2 linked regions of the Macaca fascicularis genome follow. The protein of the gene in region 1 purifies or fractionates together with the protein of each later gene. This does not show direct contact. Links are inferred from orthologs where the notes say so. Each region holds a gene or a part of one and is shown on either strand. Other genes may lie near its edges.

What was found. The genes of interacting proteins can lie anywhere in the genome.
Region 2: the proteins of YAP1 (region 1) and USP9X purify together in Homo sapiens (affinity purification with western blotting; 3 studies listed by BioGRID, with this or other methods). This does not show direct contact. The link is inferred for Macaca fascicularis from reciprocal best matches to the Homo sapiens genes YAP1 and USP9X.

Annotation. Positions count from the first base shown.
Region 1 is NC_088388.1:101,212,130-101,215,691, reverse strand, and holds part of YAP1 (transcriptional coactivator YAP1), read right to left. Parts: intron 405-3,562; coding exon 211-404; intron 1-210. UniProt on the Homo sapiens protein: Transcriptional regulator with dual roles as a coactivator and corepressor. Critical downstream regulatory target in the Hippo signaling pathway, crucial for organ size control and tumor suppression by restricting proliferation and promoting apoptosis.
Region 2 is NC_088395.1:41,067,327-41,071,341, reverse strand, and holds the start of USP9X (ubiquitin carboxyl-terminal hydrolase 9X), read right to left. Parts: upstream 2,856-4,015; 5' UTR 2,575-2,855; intron 2,308-2,574; exon of another isoform or gene 1,547-2,307; intron 1-1,546.

The sequences.
Region 1 (3,562 bases):
CACGATACAGGTTTCCAAGTCACATCCCTTGAAACCTGATCAAAGGCCATTCACAGTCACGAAACTAAGACAAGGACAGGGCTGGATAGAATGCTTCTGTGTCGCTCAGTTTTACAAAGACAACATTCCTCTGTAACTAATAAATGTTAAAATGCAATCTGCCCAACTTTAAGAAAACAAACCCCAAAAAGTGGAAGGCTGGTTTCTAACCTGTGGCCTCACCTGCCGAAGCAGTTCTTGTTGTTTCAGCCGCAGTCTCTCCTTCTCCATCTGGAGCTGCTGCAGTCGCATCTGTTGCTGCTGGTTGGAGCTGCTGCCACCCATGACGCCTCCCTGTGGGCTCTGGGGAGCCAGGGGTGGTGGTTGTTTCACTGGAGCACTCTGACTGATTCTCTGGTTCATGGCTGAAATGAAAAGAAAAAAAAAATCTGTCCTAAAAAACTAGCGAAGGAAGAGAAAATGATAATTTAATTATTCAAAAGCAATTTGGGATATTCAATGTAGCTTTTCTGGGCAAGAAGACTGGAAATAACCTAAAAATCCATCAATATTACAATGACTACATTAATTTATTATTACTGTTGTCACAAGATACAAGGAAGTCATAAGAGAAAAGAAACAAGAGGTAGTTTTAACAGGCAATGATGATAAGGAATAGTTTCTAAGGACTTACTAAATTAAAAGCAAGGTAAAGTGTTAAAAAAAGAGGGGAGGGAGTGGGAGTGAATATATATTGCATATTCAGAGAATATAAAAATTGATGAATAGCTAAGAAGCAACTAACATCTTTTGGTTCCAGAGATGAGAAACTAGCTGACTAAAGGACAAAGCTGGAGAACCTTATTTATAACTTCTGAAGTGTGAATGATGTAAATTCATTACTTCTTATGAAATATAAAAATGTAATTAAAAATTCATCCACAAAAACTAAGACAAAGCATTCCAAGCAGCAAAGCCCATGAAAATAATCAGCCCTTAATATATCCACATACACATCCCAATAAAGCAAGTAGATTAAAATGATATGATGCTTGCTCATATCAAGTTGAGTTCACAAGTATTTGGATGACACAGATTTGTCTCATTTGACACCATGGCACACACAGCACAAAGCCTAGATAGCAAAAAAAAAAATTTTTTTTTTGAAGCTGTAATACACTATTTGGTGGTCAGAAATGGACTGGGTTTTCATACTGGTGAATTTCTGTCACTGATACAACACTGATCAAACTGTGGATTAACCCCAGTGGGCAGAGGGAAGTTTTATGTGAAAATGTTAGTAAAAATAATAAACCTTTTCAGATACATATTCGACTTAAGTTGAAATTTTGGGTCACTCTTTCTACTAAATGTTTAGTACACATTGACTAAAGAAAACCCCAGGTCCCAATGGCTTTGTAGTCATTCAAGGAAGAAATAACACCAATCTTACACAATCTCTTCCAGAGCATAACAAGGATGGAATATTTTCCAACACTTATAAGGCCAGCATAACCTTGATACCATACAAGGATATTAAAAGAAAGGAAAATTACAGGCCAATCTCTCATATAAACCTTGCTACAAAAATCCTAAATAACATACACTGACAGCTCTTATAACTTAATGGTCTCCCAGTCACACAGCAAACTCCTCGTGATTTTTAATGTGTCCCATTATAACAGACTGCCTGCTTGGTAAATGCCATTTCTTCTTGGAGACTACTTGAGGAAAAACCTCACAAAGCTGAGTCCATCCTATACATTAAAAATTTTCTTCTCTCAAGGAATTGCCTGGGAACGTTTCCATATTGTCTACTGACGTTTCCTGCCTGATTCTAATTTTTTGTTTACAAATTTATATGCTCCCTCAGACTGAGTGCCAGAGTATGGGCCATATCCTAGTCATCTATGTGTCCTCAATACCTAGCACAGCATCTGGTACGAAGTGCGTGCTGAAAAAATACTGAGCCAGAAACTATTTAAGACAATAGAGAAGTCCTACTATTAATTTCTCTTTAGATTACCACACTTTTTTTTTTTTTTCCTTTTCTGTCTTACTATGTTGCCCGGGCTGGTCTCAAACACCTGGCTTCAAACAATCCTACTGTCTGTCTCTCAAGTAGCTGAGACTGCAGGCAAGCACCATACCTGGCTCAGGACTGCCCAATTCTTCTATCAGGCTAGCATAGTACTGAGACAGAACCAAGGATATTACAGAGAGGAAAATTACAGACCAGTCTCTCTCAGAATAATGCCTTGGTTCAATCCAATCTTCTCAGCTAGTTAAGATGACTGCATTATTCACTTAGTTCCCTTTTTTCTGCTCTTATTTTTTTCCCTCCAGCTTTTCTGTATTTCATTTTCTAACTTTTAAGTTGAACTTAATTCATTTCAATCTTTTTTTGGAAGACTTAAGTCAATTAATTTACCCTTAAGTCCTGCTTTACCTGCATCCCACATGTTTTGAAATAGTATAATTCATGACTGTTCTATTCCAAAAACGTGTAATTTCTATGGTGACTTACATTTAAGTTATGAGCTATTTAGGAATATATTTTTGTGTTTCCAAACATATATTTTACATTTTGAAGGTAATTTCCATAAACACAGAAAAGTAGAAAAATTAATACAGATAATGAATCCTTGTATACTCATCACTCGCGTTCTTCCCAATTGTCAAAATCTGGCCAATCTTTTTTTACCTCTATCCTCAACTACTTTTCAGCGCCAATTATGTTCAAGTGAACAATATAGCATTTTACCCATAATTTCAACATATATTTCTAAAAAGATGGGGCCTTCTTTAAAAAAGAAAAATATAATTACAATACCATGATTACACTATCAAAATTTACCAATTCCTTAAAATTATCAAAAGTCCATCCCATGCCTACACTTCCCTATTATCAAGGGAATTATTATTATTTTTACAATTGGCTTGTTCAAAACAGAATCCAAACAAGATCCATACATTGTATTTGATTCATAATCCAAGACTTCTTTAATAACATGGTTCTGCGGTTTCTGGATCATCAGGAGGAAGAGCACCTAGCAACGTTTTAGAAATGCAAATTCATGGGCCCTGACCCAGGGCTAATGAATGAGAAACTATGGGATGAAGCCAGCAATCTGTGTTTTGACAAGCCCTCCCAGTGACTTTTGATTCATGCCAGCACTCTGAGGACCACTGTTTTATTTTATTTTATTTTTTTTTATTTTTTTTTTTTTTGAGACGGAGTCTCGCTCTGTCGCCCAGGCTGGAGTGCAGTGGCGTGATCTCGGCTCACTGCAAGCTCCGCCTCCCAGGTTCACGCCATTCTCCTGCCTCAGCCTCCCGAGTAGCTGGGACTACAGGCGCCCACAACCGCGCCCGGCTAATTTTTTTTTGTATTTTTAGTAGAGACGGGGTTTCACCGTGGTCTCGATCTCCTGACCTTGTGATCCGCCCGCCTCGGCCTCCCAAAGTGCTGGGATTACAGGCGTGAGCCACCGCGCCTGGCCACCACTGTTTTAATACACAGGTTCCCCCTTTGTTTTTTCTGTCATTTATTTGTCAAAGAAACTGTGTCATTTGCCTCATA
Region 2 (4,015 bases), on another chromosome or scaffold:
ACCTGTGGAACACCAATTCCAAATACTTCAAGCTTTCACTCCACCCAAACGCTGGAACGATAAAGTTTAAAGGGTTAAAGTTAGATGTATGACACAGCACATTAGTTTAAAAATTGAGAAAAAGAATGTTGACATTTTTTATATTTAATATATAATTCTTCAAGAATTTGAAGGCATTTGCTGAAACCAAAATGGCAGCCCAGCGAATTAGAAGACCAGCGAGATCTAAAGGAGAGTTTGTAGTCTCTATTTTTAAGTTCAAGTGTACTAACCAGCCAAGCTAGTCATGGTGAAGGAGTTACCTAAGGGTAATTAGCTCCGAGAGGGTTAAGTACCTGCTGGAAAGTTTCCTAATCAATGCACCCCAAATTATTCCCCTCAAAAGTGAAAGTATACATACGTTAGGTAGATTCAGGGACTCATGGGTTTCCAGGTAAAAGAGCGGCACACACACTTCTCTCGCCGAAAAATAAAGTATGAATAATCTATACCTACAACTTGCTTAAACTAAAAGACAATCTGAAACAATTATATACACCTGTAAACTGCACCGTGTAAATTCAATTAACGTTATAACTATGGAACTTCCAAAAAATAACATGCTTAATTTAAGCAGGTTCTACTAGAAATTTTGCAAATTCTCGTGTAAGTTGTAGTCGCTACAGAAATCCACACAAATAATTGAAGAAGCCATCTATACACCTGCTCTATAACTCTTTAACTTATTTCACAATGAATGAAAAATCAGCCATTTATCCAACCCTAAGCCTCACGTCACAAGAATCTGAAGATCTGATCACTAATAAACTCGCACATGCTAATATTTGCAGAAACAGTTAAAAATAGAAAGATAATAGGTCCAAGCTAGCTTGGAAGCGATTTCTGCACTCAAAAACCCCTTTCACGGCTTTGGCCCTCTGCAAATTAAGCGGGGTTAAGGAAGTGTAGGAGGCCGATAACCCAGCTCCGACTCCAGGAGCCCAGGGCCGGGGAGAAACTGCGGGTTATCGCGGGAGGGTGGGGGGAGGCGGACAAGTCGTCAGGCCTGATAGCCAGGCGTAGCCGAGGCCTAGCTCCCCGACTCCAAATCACTCCACCTCAGTAATGGCGTTTGGTGTCAAGTGGAACCAGACCGGGCAGGAAAGCGGCCGCCGGGCCGGGGGCGGCCAGCCCCCAAACCGACCCGGGCCCCGGGTGCGGACGGCGGGGGGGCTGCCCGCCACGCCCGGAGACTCCATCCTCCTACTCGGCCCCAGACAGGACGGGAAGGGGGAGGAGGGGGAGGGACGGAGCCGTCAGCCATTTTCCCTTACAGTCCAAAACACACAAGACACGCTCTCGGGACACCGGCTCCACACACAACACGGCCCCGCGCGCCCGCCCAGCCCGGGCCGGAGGAGGGGGAACGGGGAAGCCCCGGCCCGGCCGGCAGCCGCCGAGGGAAGAAGCTCACACACACGCACACCCCCCTCGCCCTCCTCCCCTCACCCACATCCAGCTGTTGGCCCCGGGAAGGCGCGTCGCCCCGGTGCAGCTGGCCACTCACCGCACGACACAGACGTCTTCTCAGAACCAGGGCACGTGGAGGCGGGAGGCAGCAGGCGACGCTGGGGCTCGGTCTCGGGACAAGACCTACCCTGGGTGCATCCCAGGCCCGTGGGTGACCGGCAACAAAGTGTATTGAAAGGCTGCGGCGGCCGGGCTCGGGGCTGAGGGCGTCTCAACCAAAAGGCTGCACGCCCGGCGCCGGAACTCGCTTCTCGCCGCGCCCGCCTCCTCCTCCTCCTTGGCCGGCTACGGCCCTCTTCCCCCTTCTCCCCTCAGGCTGGGGCTCTCGCTGAGCTCAGACGGGCTCCGGGCGGTGCGTTTCTCCTGCGTCACCTCCTCCTGCTCCTCCTCCTGCAGCGACGGCTTCACCTTCCCCTAGTCGCCGCCTCTGTCCCCGTTCCGGGCCTGGTGGCTTTGCAGCAGCTCTCTCCTAGCTCCCGGCGCCGACCCAAGCACCGGGCGCTAAGGCGGCCGCCTCCCGCGAGAGAGAGGCGGCGGCGGAGGGCTCCCGCGAGGCCCGGGAGCTATGCAAGGCGGGGAGGGGCTCGGCGCGGCAGAGGCCCTGACGGGGCCGGGTGCGGAGAGGTTGCGGCTCCGGCGGCGGCGGAGACTAGCGTCCGCAGCCGCGGATGCCCGTCCTCGTCAATATGGCGGATCCGGCAAACCAAAAAAAAAAAAAAAACCGCTCGGCCAGTGGCGGCGGCGGTAGCGGCGACGGCGGCGGCAGCAGCGGTGGCGGCGGCGGCGCAGACTCCCACTAGCCCCAGAGCCGCCCAAGACCCGAAGTTCTCCGCCCCCGTCAGACCCCGCCCCTCTCAGGCCCCTCCTTTCGGGCCTCCCCCTGCTCCTGCCCAGCCCCCTCCCGCTCAGCTGCCCCCTCTTCTCCCGCCTCCACCCCGGACCGTCAAGGCTGGGAGAGCAGCGCGAGCCGCCGAGGGGGCCGGGCTTGGGCGCGAGCCGCTGGGAACCCGGAGAGCTAGGGTGGGGGAGGGGAAGACAATGCGGTAAAGATTGTTCGCGCAGTACCGTTTCTTCCGGCTGGCCCCTTCAGGGTCGTGCTACCGCCAGAAATCCTGTTCCATGCCCCTCGGCTCAGGAGCGGGACGAGGGCAGAGGTGGCTCTAGGACCGAAGTTGGGGAAGGGAGGCCCGAAAAGATCTGGCACACCACGCCGGAGGGGCTGGGCGGCAGGGACTGGCGGGGTGTGCGGTCACGACGGGGTTAATCGCGTGAGCCGCAGCCGCGTCGCTCATAGTTTGACTCTGGCCGCTTGTTTTTGTTCCATTGTGAACCGTGGCCCCACCGACAAGAACCCGGATGATGACGTCACCGGCCTCCCCCTTTTCCGGGATCGTGGGGGGAGGGGCGCGGAAAGATGAGATCCCGAGACCACGCGCTGGGCTGTCGCCGCCGCGGTGCCTGGAGGTCCCGGCGGCGCAGCTGACCCGCGTCACGTGACGCACGAGCTGGCCGGGCCACTGGGCTGCGGGGGCGCGAGGTCCCGAGGGCCTGGCCACCTGCTTGGCGCCGATAGGGGGAAGGTGTGGCTATCTCCTGCAGCGGAAGGAGGGGGCGTGGGGAGTGAGGTCCTTTTCCCCACCCCGCGAGGGAGGTGCTCTGGGAAACACTTTCACACGATCGCGCAGCATCAGTACTTGAAAGCGTTTAGGCGTCCTCACAGCGTAACTGACGGGACTGACAACCTTGTTGGCTATAGGAGCCCTTCAAACAGACCAGGAAAGAAAAAAATTATAAAGTACCCCAGACGGCTTAGCGAATAGGCCGTACTTGATATGGCAAGATTAGCCTCCATTGCCAGATCATCAGCACGATTCGGTGTTAGAACCCGGAAGAAACTTATGAACCCATCCGCTGTGTCATGGACTATTTTCTACATGTTTATATTCCAAAGTGCAGGCGTAGGAAAAACTTAGGCTAATCTCAAATTAATGGGGTGCTTGGAACAATTCTATACAGTCTGCCTAGGATGCCCAAATGAAGAGGAAATTAACAGTTCCTAATTTACAGATTTCCTTTTGACTTAAAACTACCTGTGGACATCAAATGGCATGCAAAATCATAGTAAAACCTTACAAAACGAGATTTTATAGAGAACAGGGTTGAATTTAGTTATGCTATGATTATATCAGTTTGTAATAAAAGACTGTTAAAAATGGAACCAAACTAATTTAGGTGACAGTGAAAGCAAGTTATTGGTATCTTAAATTTTTAAACCATTTCTCTATTTAGCACTAGATTGTTTACAAATTTTTCACCACAAAATTACCTAATAGGGTATCCAAGATACATCATTCATAGCCCTAATAACTCTTAGCATATGTTACCTTGTTTTTGTAATTATTTCCATGAATCATTTGCTTACCCACTAGCTCATGGGCTTCTAAAAAGTAGACACGACCACCCGTGTACACTGTAGGCTGTTATCTTCGATTTTAGATAAGGAAAC